Linked DNA regions of Saccharomyces cerevisiae S288C. The main gene of each other region encodes a partner of the protein of the gene in region 3 in a complex. Each region holds a gene or a part of one and is shown on either strand. Other genes may lie near its edges.

What was found.
Region 1: MRPL13 (region 3) and MRP7 share a complex: the UniProt entries of both Saccharomyces cerevisiae proteins name them as parts of the mitochondrial large ribosomal subunit.
Region 2: MRPL13 (region 3) and RTC6 share a complex: the UniProt entries of both Saccharomyces cerevisiae proteins name them as parts of the mitochondrial large ribosomal subunit.
Region 4: MRPL13 (region 3) and MRPL33 share a complex: the UniProt entries of both Saccharomyces cerevisiae proteins name them as parts of the mitochondrial large ribosomal subunit.

The regions. Positions count from the first base shown.
Region 1 is NC_001146.8:620,781-624,219, forward strand, and holds MRP7 (mitochondrial 54S ribosomal protein bL27m MRP7), read right to left. Parts: upstream 1,649-3,439; coding exon 533-1,648; downstream 1-532. Other genes in the region: TOR complex subunit LST8, read left to right, coding at 1-198; HRB1 (mRNA-binding protein), read left to right, coding at 2,135-2,164, 2,507-3,439. UniProt on the Saccharomyces cerevisiae protein: Component of the mitochondrial ribosome (mitoribosome), a dedicated translation machinery responsible for the synthesis of mitochondrial genome-encoded proteins, including at least some of the essential transmembrane subunits of the mitochondrial respiratory chain.
Region 2 is NC_001148.4:197,256-199,876, reverse strand, and holds RTC6 (mitochondrial 54S ribosomal protein bL36m RTC6), read right to left. Parts: upstream 783-2,621; coding exon 501-782; downstream 1-500. Other genes in the region: tRNA (34-2'-O)-methyltransferase regulator RTT10, read left to right, coding at 1-382; MRN1 (Mrn1p), read left to right, coding at 2,089-2,621. UniProt on the Saccharomyces cerevisiae protein: Component of the mitochondrial ribosome (mitoribosome), a dedicated translation machinery responsible for the synthesis of mitochondrial genome-encoded proteins, including at least some of the essential transmembrane subunits of the mitochondrial respiratory chain.
Region 3 is NC_001143.9:449,896-453,155, forward strand, and holds MRPL13 (mitochondrial 54S ribosomal protein mL50 MRPL13), read right to left. Parts: upstream 1,323-3,260; coding exon 528-1,322; downstream 1-527. Other genes in the region: YKR005C (uncharacterized protein), read right to left, coding at 1-56, 126-272; MEH1 (Meh1p), read left to right, coding at 1,539-2,093; RSC4 (Rsc4p), read left to right, coding at 2,306-3,260. UniProt on the Saccharomyces cerevisiae protein: Component of the mitochondrial ribosome (mitoribosome), a dedicated translation machinery responsible for the synthesis of mitochondrial genome-encoded proteins, including at least some of the essential transmembrane subunits of the mitochondrial respiratory chain.
Region 4 is NC_001145.3:840,167-842,706, reverse strand, and holds MRPL33 (mitochondrial 54S ribosomal protein uL30m MRPL33), read right to left. Parts: upstream 766-2,540; coding exon 505-765; downstream 1-504. Other genes in the region: DSS1 (exoribonuclease II), read left to right, coding at 1-271; NGL2 (RNA exonuclease), read left to right, coding at 1,016-2,540. UniProt on the Saccharomyces cerevisiae protein: Component of the mitochondrial ribosome (mitoribosome), a dedicated translation machinery responsible for the synthesis of mitochondrial genome-encoded proteins, including at least some of the essential transmembrane subunits of the mitochondrial respiratory chain.

The DNA.
Region 1 (3,439 bases), on a different chromosome or scaffold from region 3:
GATTTTAAGCTAGAAACGACATTGGATGGCCACCAAAGGTGGGTTTGGGATTGCGCATTTAGTGCTGACAGTGCGTATCTAGTAACGGCATCGTCCGATCATTACGTGAGATTATGGGATTTATCAACTAGAGAAATTGTCAGACAGTACGGTGGACACCACAAGGGAGCTGTATGTGTCGCATTAAACGATGTATAGTTTACAATTTATCAACTACCAAGCTTGAAGGACCGAAGTGACAAAAAACATTATGATTTTCAGTGTTTGCTTATCCGCCTTTTTGTAAATATAGATTTTACTATCCTGTGCATTTTAGTTAATTGATTGTTCACAAAATGAAAGCAATCGCGATGCATATCATCAATGAAAGGAAGACGAGAATGTACAGTATAAACATATTCCCTTGCATGTAGCACTAAATTTTAAGTTTCGTGTAGACGAAAGGTTTAGCTACTTGCGCGACAAAATAGTAATATTTACAGGCATTCTTAAACATTTTATATGTGTACATACTGTGCGTAAGGAAAGAAAATCAAAGCTTGCTCAAAAAAGCCCGCCTACTTCTAGCAATGACTTCAACTTTATTTTTGGTGTAATCAAAACGTCTAGACACAATTGACTTCTTCCCGCTTTTGGTTTCAACCGTACTATCTGTTTCGGGGAAGACCGACTTTAAGTATTTCCTACGCAAATGTACTTCTTCAGATAAAGTCAAAAAATTACAAGCGTCCTTGAAAAGCGCCTTAATATAATTCTTGTCTTTTTTGGTTTCTAAGTGTTGGGATTTTTCTAGGTCCTCTAATAGTTTTGCCTTCAAAGCTTGTTTTTCTTGTTCCGAAATATACTGGTGTAGCTCTAGCTTGTTATTGAAAGATGTAGATGAGTTCAAAAGATCACTACACTCATCAATCTTGGATAGACTCTCCGACAATTTCTCATTCGTCCAGCTTTCTCTCCTTGCCTTCAAACGCTCTTCTTCTTTTAAATAATATCTACTATTGAACCTTGCATCTTCTATGGGGTATCCATTCTTCAGGGAAGCCCTTACACGAATTAAGTATGACGTTGCCAATTCGATGTCTTTTATATCTAACTTAAGTTCATCCCGAAGAACCTTACTCAACTTGTCTTGTAACTCCTTTCTTTTAGATTCCCTGACCTCTAACTGCTTCAAAATATTAGGTTTTGCGAGATAGTCTTTTCTAGAAATAGAATTTTCTTCCTTATATGCTGCCCTTTTATTTGTTAACTCAAAACGGCCAAACCTCCTTACGGTAGGCTCAAAATGAGGAGATGGCAGTTTCAAATCACGCCTCAAGGCAACACCAATGAATTTTCTTTTAGGATGAAAAGGATCAAGATAGTAACGAACAACACCAGGTTCTAAGGCGAATATGGAATGATCTTTCCCTATACCAACGTTTTCTCCAGGATAAAACTTTGTTCCTCTTTGCCTCATAATAATTTCACCTGTGGAAACATCCTGGCCTTCATATTTTTTTGGTCCTAACCTTCTTCCTGCAGAATCCTTCATACTTGTTCTCGAGCCCGCAGCCCTTTTGGTGGCATTACGCACTTGAAGGAACACACCAGACACATGTTTTTGGAATGAAAAACTAGAAGTATCTAGTAAAATAGGATTCCACATATTCTCACCTTAGGTTAAGCTTGAAATATTATGACCACCCAAACTGGCGAGTTTTATTTTTACAATGAGCCAACTTCATTCTTCAGTGAACTATCTTGAATGAGTCTCCAAAGAAAGAGCTTTAAAATTCAATAGCGGAACGTCAGATATCGAAACACCCAGTCATAACAGCCAAATTTGCATAATTGGTATAAAAACAGTGTGTATAACATTACAGAGAAGCCGTTGTGTGAAAATCTTTTTAGTACCTATTCAACCAAACAATTGAACTTGAACACCAAACTCTAGCCATCCTTATCCTCTTCTGGTCACTACATATACCTCAATTTACGTCTTTCCTTGGGTCGTTTCAAATGACTCTCTTTGTTTAGCGAGGGAAATGAAAAAGTAGAGTACTGGCTGAAAAATTTCATAATTATGTTTGCTCATGAGTTCGAAAACAGTTTGAATGAGCAGATAGAACGCCAAATATTAAGTTAACAGGATATGTCTGATCAAGAACGAGGTTCAGAAAACGTATGTTTCATTGATAAGGGAGGTGAAGAAAAGTTTGTAAAATGAGACTTTATGAGGTCATTGGAATTAAATAGACATCAACGAATGGTGAGTCACCATTTAATGCTGCCTTCAAAACGCTTGCTTCAATGTGATTCCACTGGTTAAAGGGGGTTTTTTGAATGCATTGCTAATGTTTATCTACTGGCTATGAAAGTGAGAATATCAATTATAAATAAAACCCTGATTTTCTACCTGCCATGCTATAATGTACAGTTTATTCCAACTTTGAAACGCAATGACTTATTGGTCTCTCTCATTATGAAATTTAGTTACTTTTACTAATGTTATTCATTGTTGTAGAATAATCGAAGTAGATCGAGGTCGAGATCACCTGTTCGTCGTCGGATGAGTGATGATCATGGTTATGAAAGAGACAACCATTTGTCCCGGAGGTCAGGTAATTATAACGGTAGGCGTAAGTTCGCAGATACGTACAGAGGAAGCAGAGATAGAGGAGAATATAGAGGAGGTAGAGAAAGGTCTGATTACAGAGAAAGAGAAAGGTTCAATAACAGAGATAATCCTAGATCTAGAGACCGTTACGATGATAGGCGCAGAGGAAGAGATGTGACTGGTCGTTATGGGAACAGACGTGATGACTATCCTAGAAGCTTTAGGAGTAGACACAATACACGTGATGACAGTAGGAGAGGCGGTTTTGGTAGTAGTGGAGCAAGAGGTGATTACGGTCCTTTGTTGGCACGTGAATTGGATAGTACATACGAAGAAAAGGTCAATAGAAACTATTCCAATAGTATATTCGTGGGTAATTTAACATATGACAGCACCCCCGAAGATCTCACTGAGTTTTTTTCACAGATAGGAAAAGTAGTCCGCGCGGATATAATTACATCAAGAGGGCACCACAGAGGTATGGGTACAGTAGAGTTCACTAATTCGGATGATGTTGACAGGGCCATCCGCCAGTACGATGGGGCCTTCTTCATGGATCGTAAAATCTTCGTCAGGCAAGATAATCCACCACCGTCAAACAATATCAAGGAAAGGAAAGCACTCGATAGAGGAGAGCTTAGACATAACCGAAAAACACATGAAGTTATTGTAAAAAATTTACCTGCTTCCGTTAATTGGCAGGCTTTGAAAGACATATTCAAGGAATGTGGGAATGTCGCACACGCTGATGTGGAATTGGATGGCGATGGAGTATCCACTGGATCTGGTACGGTGTCCTTTTATGATATTAAAGATCTGCATAGAGCGATTGAGAAATAC
Region 2 (2,621 bases), on a different chromosome or scaffold from region 3:
CCTAGACTATGTTGCTAATGCTACAAGAACTTCCGCCACAATTTTGACAGGGGGTGATGATAATGGTTTAGGGTTAAGCAACCTGAAATTAGATGACTCGAATAAAGTAACGTTAAAAACAAGTGACTTTATCGCTGCAGCAGCTTCTTCGACAATAACGTCCGGTATGTTGATTAATGGTGGCAAAGAAGTCATTACCACATCGGTTGATCAAGTAATACGCGCTTGGGAAATTACCGCAGGCAAGCTTTCACTGGTAGATAAAAAGCGTACCACTGTGGCGGATACAGGATCATTAGAAATCATTTCCAATGATGAAGATGCTGATTCTGAGAAAACGTTACTGATCGGAGGTGTTGGTTTATCAATTTGGAAAAAATGATACAAAAAATTAACATATACATAAAAGAATATTATAGATATGTATTATTTACAGATTTTAGAAAATGAGAATATTTTGTAAACACCCGAACGGAGAACAGCGAAGAGATTTACATCTTTCAGCCTTGACGCTGTTTGTGTTTTTTATTCGACTTGCAATAAATGTATACTCTTCCCTTTCTTCTTACCAAGTAGCAATCACTGCAGAACTTTTTGACAGATGTTCTGACCTTGAAACCTCTGTTAAAAACCAAAGGTCTGTTAGCTGCAACAAGAGCTGGTTGCGGAGCTGCAACAGATAGGAGGCTGGGCACTGTGCAGGCCCTTGTTATCGTTATGGGGGACGGTTTCATGTGCAAAAACATCCTTGGCATAGTTAGGCGGAGAGTCTGTAAAAACATTCTTTGAAATCCTTTCGCTTGCTGAAAAATTCTGAGATTTGTACTATGAACCGTAGCCGTTATATGCGAGTAGATCGAGGCTATATCCCAATGCCAATAGTTCCACGATTCATTCCCTTTCTATTTGGAATAAGTGCGAAGACAGAATTTTTAATTTCGGCTTGGGTGAGAGAAAAAAAAAATCATAGTTTCGTTACGCAGATAGTAAATAACTAATACATAGATAAAAGCACCACCTTCTACCGGACCGTCGTCATTCTCGGCAACACCGTTGAAGTGTTTATGACTACGCTTTTTTTATCCTCACTTTTGGAATGCCCTTGAACTATGGACCTTTCACTCCCTATTGACAAATTCAAAAGACAAAAAAGGGAAACACTTGGAAAAGGTAACTTGACGTCCAATAATACACGCCGAATGAGGGCAGACTATGTCTTTCTTCCAACTGCCGTGGCAGTTGCGTACTTATCATTCTTATGTTCTTACAGTGGGATTCCACCATCATGGTAACCCGGTGCTTTTTTTCCTTGTGGTACGATTTTGGCTATGAGAAGAGAAAGAAAAGACAGAAAAAAACACGATCTTGAAATTAACTTTACCAGAAAGTGGATCTTGTGGTTGTCCGAAAGTCTACAAAGAGATTCAGTCACAACCGCAATCATACTCCATCCCTTCGTCACAGCAATAAATTAATCAGTTTCTTTGCCTTTGGTGGAAAGTAAAAAAAACTAAACTTGGTTCAGCACAGCGCTATATCTACGAGAACACCGTTGCCCACTCTTATACATTATTTTCACAGAGTCACATTCCCCACTGAATTCTCTCCTTAAGCTTCCTTTCTCTGTTTATTTTACCAATTTACAATTTCTAGAACTGATAGTCTCTGTACCTTTCCTTTAGATACACATACGCTTCATTTCTTTTGAACATTGTATTCTTCTATTTTCTTCGTTCTTCCGTTATTTGATATTTGCCCCTTTTTAAGTCTTCTGACTCACCTGTTCTGCTTTACCAATTAGGCTCCTTAATTGGTTCAACTGTCCATTCCAGCCTCATATTTTTCACTTTATCTTTCTTCATCATTTTTTTTGTCTAATTAATATCCGTTTCCAACTTCAATTCTCAAGGACACTCTTTTTTTTTTTGAAAAAAAATATCATATTTTTCTTTGCTAATACTATTTTATTTTTTCAATTCTGGTCGTTGAAGCCTTTTCTATTCAGATATTTCCTAAAGAAAAACAAAGAACTATCGTTGTATTTTTTTTTTTCTTCACCATCACATACTACTTCAATTGCATTAAAACATGGTGGTTTCTTATAACAATAATAATAACAATAACAATAACAATAACAATAATAATATCAGTAATAATAATAACAATAATAACATGTTCCCTCCTTTTCCTTCTTCCGATGACTTTGCAATGTATCAACAGTCCAGTTCTTCCGGCCCTTACCAAGAAACTTATGCGAGTGGCCCTCAAAACTTTGGCGATGCTGTGTATCCTATGAATGGTAATTTTACTCTTTTACCATCCGACTTTACACGAGAGCCTAATGATTCGTTCTTTTACGAGAATGACGGAATTTTTGATTATCAGCGTATTCAACAGCAACCAACTCAATTCCAGACAAAGCAGCGAAATGATTCACAACAGCAACGGTTTTCACAGGAACAAAATTTCGAAATTGATAACGAAGTTGTCCACAATAACAATCGTTATTATGAATATGAAAGGTCATCAAATGAAGTCTCTCCTTTTGATGATGAGAATCCAAATGTGTTATCTGATGGCATGTCACCCACTATTATGGCAACTGCAACTGCAGTAACCAA
Region 3 (3,260 bases):
CAAAATGCATATTGTTCATCAAAATAACGGGACACGCATTCACTTAAATTTCGTTTCTTCACATGGATCTTGTCAGTAATAAAATCTAGAGAATATTAGTACCTCGGTAAATTTGTTGTACATACGCAACTGGAGAGGAAGGGGGAAATCAGTTGTGAATTGTAACCTGGACATAAGTTAGGATCTGCCACAGTTTTGCTTTGAACCGCTGCGAGAACGCTCCCACCACCACCGGCAAAGAGAACCAGCAGAGCGCTTAGACATTCCAACATTATCAGTATATCTCGTGTGTTCCTGCCTCTTGATGATTTTAGCTAGCTGTAATGTGTAACGAATTATTCCCTTACTGCTTCTTGAGTTAGCCGCCAAAGAGGAAATATAGCCACAAAAAGAACTTACAGAAAAGATAAGGTAAAAAAAAAAAGTGATCTATAATGGGAAAGAAAAATCCAAACTTCTTCAAAGAGTATATATATGTACAGGATATTAAAATGTAATGATAGTAGTAATAATAGTATTAACATAAGCTAAGCGGATCTTGCTGTTTCCAAAGCTTTTCTTGTTGCATCATCCTCTAACTTTTGAATTTCTTTCATAATAGTATCATATTTACTTTTTTGCTCTTTAGAAGTAACATCGTTAACAACATATATGTTTGGTGACGCGTAATTATCAGAAAATGGGTGGATAGCATTTGGCTCAGCTTCTTTATAAGCGAGTTTAGGATCGTTGGCAGATGGCAAAATTTTTTCCTTAATATACCTTTTAAACTGCAAGGGTGTGCTTAAAGTGGTCAGTTCATAATCAGGAATTAGATAGCCAGATTTAGATTGCAAAAATTTGGTGAACTGAAATTTAGCTACCAAATCAGAGAATTGGACGTCCTGGTCTACTTTGCCCAATGTTTTTTCCGTTGCCTGCAATATCATATCATCTAACTGATTATCAGACGTAATCTTATCCCTGGATAACCACTGATTGAATGGCGCAGAGGAGACCGCAAGCTTCAACTCCTTCTGTCTCTTACACCGTCTAGACCCTTCGCCAATAAAATTTTCTGGTATTAGCTCCAATCTGTTTTTGTTATTGGAAGAGGATTGAGAGGAAGCCTCGTTAGTGCCTTCTTCAATATCCTTTATCAACTGTTTGGTGTCCTTGACAGGCTCTTGGTGCTCTTCTTGCTTCTTCCTCTTGAACCATGACATAAAGTCCCCGTTTGCAGCGGAACTGTGAATACATCTGGCTTTCTGCTTGTAGCCAGAGAGCCAGACCGACCTTTGCGGCAATGGTCTAATACAATGTAATTTAAGCAGTGACGACATCCTCATACTATGTCCGCCTTTCCGTCTACCCATTATTCACTTCAGGACTGATGATCAGGCATGCAGTTAATTTGACAGAAGTCGTTGTTTCACTATAAATTTGTCAGCTACCCGCCTCACCAGCAGCGATAAAGAACGAAGAATAAAAGAGAGCATTCACAGAGTACGAATCCAGTATAGCGGTAGTGGATACAACGACAGATTTAAGTCGTAAAAATGGGAGCCGTACTCAGCTGTTGTAGAAACCATTCCGGCGAAGAGAATGAAGCTTTGCTGAGGGAACAGCAGGCAGGCTATGGAAGTCAAGGAAACGCAAATGACGAATACGATGCCGAACAAATGCGGTTGAAGGAACACGAACACGAACAGAAACTGCTGGCCAGGGAACAAGAGTTAAGAGACATTGTTGCAAACACCAACGATAAACTAATAGACATATCGATGATAAACAATAGTGGCATTGTAATTCAAGGGACAGACCTGCAAGAAGCTCTTGATAAAAGACAACAGGAAGAAGGTGGAGATTCCCGGGAAGACGAAAGGAGTGCAGGTGATGACAACCTCAGTGGGCACTCAGTGCCTTCAAGCGGATCCGCACAGGCAACTACTCACCAAACTGCACCAAGGACTAATACGTTTACTCTGCTTACATCACCGGATTCAGCGAAAATATCAAAGGAACAGTTAAAGAAGTTGCACTCTAATATACTAAATGAAATTTTCAGCCAGTCCCAGGTAAACAAACCAGGCCCCTTGACGGTTCCCTTTTAATGAACTTTTTGTATAACATCATTGGTATACAAGCTTTATAAATAAATGTTAAATAGTTAATGAAATAAAAAATCACATTTGACGAATTCGGAAGACAAGTAGCCCAAGAAAAAAAACAACAAAAGCATGCTAGAGGATGATGTTTAAAACGACCCTCAGCCTGTTATTACAATAGAGAGCAAACCAAAGAATAATAGATAAAGTACACAGATATGGTAGTTAAGAAGCGTAAGTTGGCAACTGAGGCCGGTGGCAGTGATGAAAGGCCTAAATACTTGCCGGGAAAACATCCTAAAAACCAAGAGAAAACTCCGCATGTGGATTATAACGCCCCATTAAACCCTAAATCTGAACTTTTTCTAGATGACTGGCATATACCTAAATTTAATCGATTTATTAGTTTCACTTTGGATGTTCTTATCGACAAATACAAAGATATTTTCAAAGATTTCATCAAACTACCAAGTAGGAAGTTTCATCCACAGTATTATTACAAGATCCAGCAGCCAATGTCTATTAATGAAATCAAGTCAAGAGATTATGAATACGAAGATGGTCCAAGTAATTTTCTTTTGGATGTTGAGCTACTGACAAAGAATTGTCAAGCTTACAATGAATATGACAGTTTGATTGTAAAAAACTCCATGCAAGTAGTAATGTTGATTGAATTTGAAGTATTGAAGGCAAAAAATTTGAAAAGAAATTACTTAATTAACAGCGAGGTCAAAGCCAAATTACTGCACTATCTTAATAAGCTAGTTGACGCCACGGAAAAGAAAATCAACCAGGCTCTGCTGGGTGCGTCATCTCCTAAAAACTTAGACGACAAAGTCAAGCTAAGTGAACCGTTTATGGAATTAGTCGATAAAGATGAACTTCCTGAATATTATGAAATAGTGCATAGCCCCATGGCTTTATCGATCGTAAAGCAGAACCTCGAAATTGGTCAGTATTCCAAGATATATGATTTCATCATTGATATGCTTTTAGTTTTTCAGAATGCTCATATATTCAATGATCCAAGCGCTTTGATTTACAAAGACGCAACAACTTTAACAAATTATTTTAACTACTTAATACAAAAGGAATTCTTCCCAGAGTTACAGGATTTAAATGAACGTGGCGAAATTAATTTAGAATTTGACAAATTCGAATTCGAAAACTACT
Region 4 (2,540 bases), on a different chromosome or scaffold from region 3:
GGCTAGCCGTAATTCGTCGACGTACTGGACACTGAATTATTTAAAAAAGCTAACCAAACTAGAGCCAGAAAGGACTTTCGATGTAATGGTAACATCAGTACCGCAGAACGGATTTACTGGATGTGTTTTTCCAGACTTATCGTTCGCTAGAGGAACATTAAAATTGCATCCAAGTTCTATGCATTATCCGATGATTGGAGATATCGTGAAGAATTGTAAAATTTCAAAAATTGACTGTTTAGAAGGAATGTTAGAGTTGGAAAAGCTATAAAAAGGGACTCTTTTTCCAAATATAAAATTCAATAGACCATGCATAATTTTCTTCTTGTAAATATATACATACATAAAATATGAAATCGAGATAGTGTATTGATTTCTTTGTATCAAAAATTGCATAAATTACTATTAACATATGTGCCTATGCAGGAAAAAATAATACTATATACATATATAAGTCAGGAATATCAAGAAGAAAGGAAATCCAGTTGCCTTATTTTCGCTGTTTCAGTCGATGGTTCTCTTCTCCACTATAAACCCAGGGTTTGACTTTCTCAACTCTCGTTGCTGCGATGGTGTTAATTCATGTTCTGTTACTTCTACTTTGACTAACTCTTTTACTTTAGCTAGGGAGCCAGCTATGGCCGGGTTTACTTTTTTGTAGACTATGGACCCTCTTTTACCTAAACCCAAACTTTTGACAATGCTCTTCGTTGTGTGTGGCACACCGATAAGCGACCTACTCAACGTGACTTTGTAAAACACCATTCCTGATATCTGCTTTCAACGTGTTTTAGCTGGTCCATCAATATTGATTCCATCACCTAACTTTTGGGATGATATACTTTATCCTTAATATCTAGAAAAGCTCTTCGAGAGATATTTCGTGCAGAAAGACCATTCATTTTTCAAAAAATGGTTGCACTAAAGCAAGAGGAAAGGAAAAGTAGTGTTGCAAGAAGATGAGATTGTAGTCTCCTTATAGCTTCTTAATTGTAGTTAAGAGTATTAAGTAAATATGACACAAGACAAAGAAGTCAAAGTGGTTGCCCCAGATGTTGCGCCCGACCAAGAAGTAGAAATTAATAAATCTGTAAAAGATGCAAAACATCAAACCAATGATGATTCGTTACTTCAACATAAAAAGAAGGGCAAGAAAGGTAAAAAATCGAAGCCCATAGTGACCCCAGAACATATCGCTAAGGTTCGTGCCGAAAGGGAAGTTATGAGAAAGGCTAAAAGAGATGCAATGTTGGCTCAAGGTGTTGATCCGGACTGCCCGCCAGAGCTGCATTTTATCAGAAGACCTTTCCTATCTCTACATGAGGCAGAGCCAGTAACTGGATTTAGATTCAAGCTAATGACTTATAATTGCTTGGCGCAAGCTCTAATCCGCAGAAAGCTGTTCCCGGATAGTGGTGACGCTTTAAAATGGTACAGGCGTTCTAAAGTTCTCTTAAACGAGTTTAAATATTATAATTCCGATGTCATTTGTTTGCAAGAGATTGATCATATTCAGTTTCAAAGCTTTTGGAAAGATGAATTCAGTAAATTGGGATACGATGGACAATATTATAGAAATGCTACAAAAAACCATGGTGTCGCGATAATGTGGAGGAGAGAATTATTTCACCAGGTTGACAAAATGCTAATCGACTATGATAAAGAAAGTTCAGAAAGCATTTCCACTAGAACAACGACAAACAACGTGGGATTAGTCTTAGCCTTGAAGTTTTCTGAGAAAGTACTGTCGAATTTGGGTAAAAAATCGTCTAAAAAATGCGGTATCTTGATCGGCACTACGCATCTATTTTGGCATCCATTTGGTACTTATGAACGAACAAGACAATGCTATATTGTTTTAAAAAAGATGAAGGAATTCATGCATCGTGTGAATGTTTTACAGAACGAAAATGATGGGGATTTATCTCATTGGTTTCCTTTTTTCTGTGGTGATTTTAATTCCCAGCCGTTCGACACACCATATTTATCTATGACATCCAAACCAGTGCACTATAGAAACAGGGCAAAGACCGTCATTGGGTGCAGCACTTCATATAAGTTTTCCAAGGTCCGTGATGGCGAAGAAGGTGCAGATGACGAAGAAGGCGGGAATATTGAAAAATATGGTAAAGATCAACCTGAGAGCCCCGTTCCTGAAAAATTTCATGCTAATGAAGAACAGTCTGAACTCGTAGATAAAATGGCACAACTCCATAACTCATTGGATATGAGGGCTATTTCACTATACTCTGTTGGGTATAAGAATGTTCATCCAGAAAATGCAGGTCTTGATAATGATAGAGGTGAGCCTGAAATTTCAAATTGGGCAAACACTTGGCGTGGTTTATTAGACTATCTATTTTATGTAAAGAAATGGGACCCACAAAGTAATTGTCAGGAAGTGGAAACCCTTGGCGATTTTGAAAAAGAAAATAAAGTTAAATGCAGAGGTTTTTTGAGAATGCCGCCCGGTAATGAAATGACAAAGCATGGACAACCACATGTTGGAGAATATGCAAGTGATCATTTGTCTATGGTGT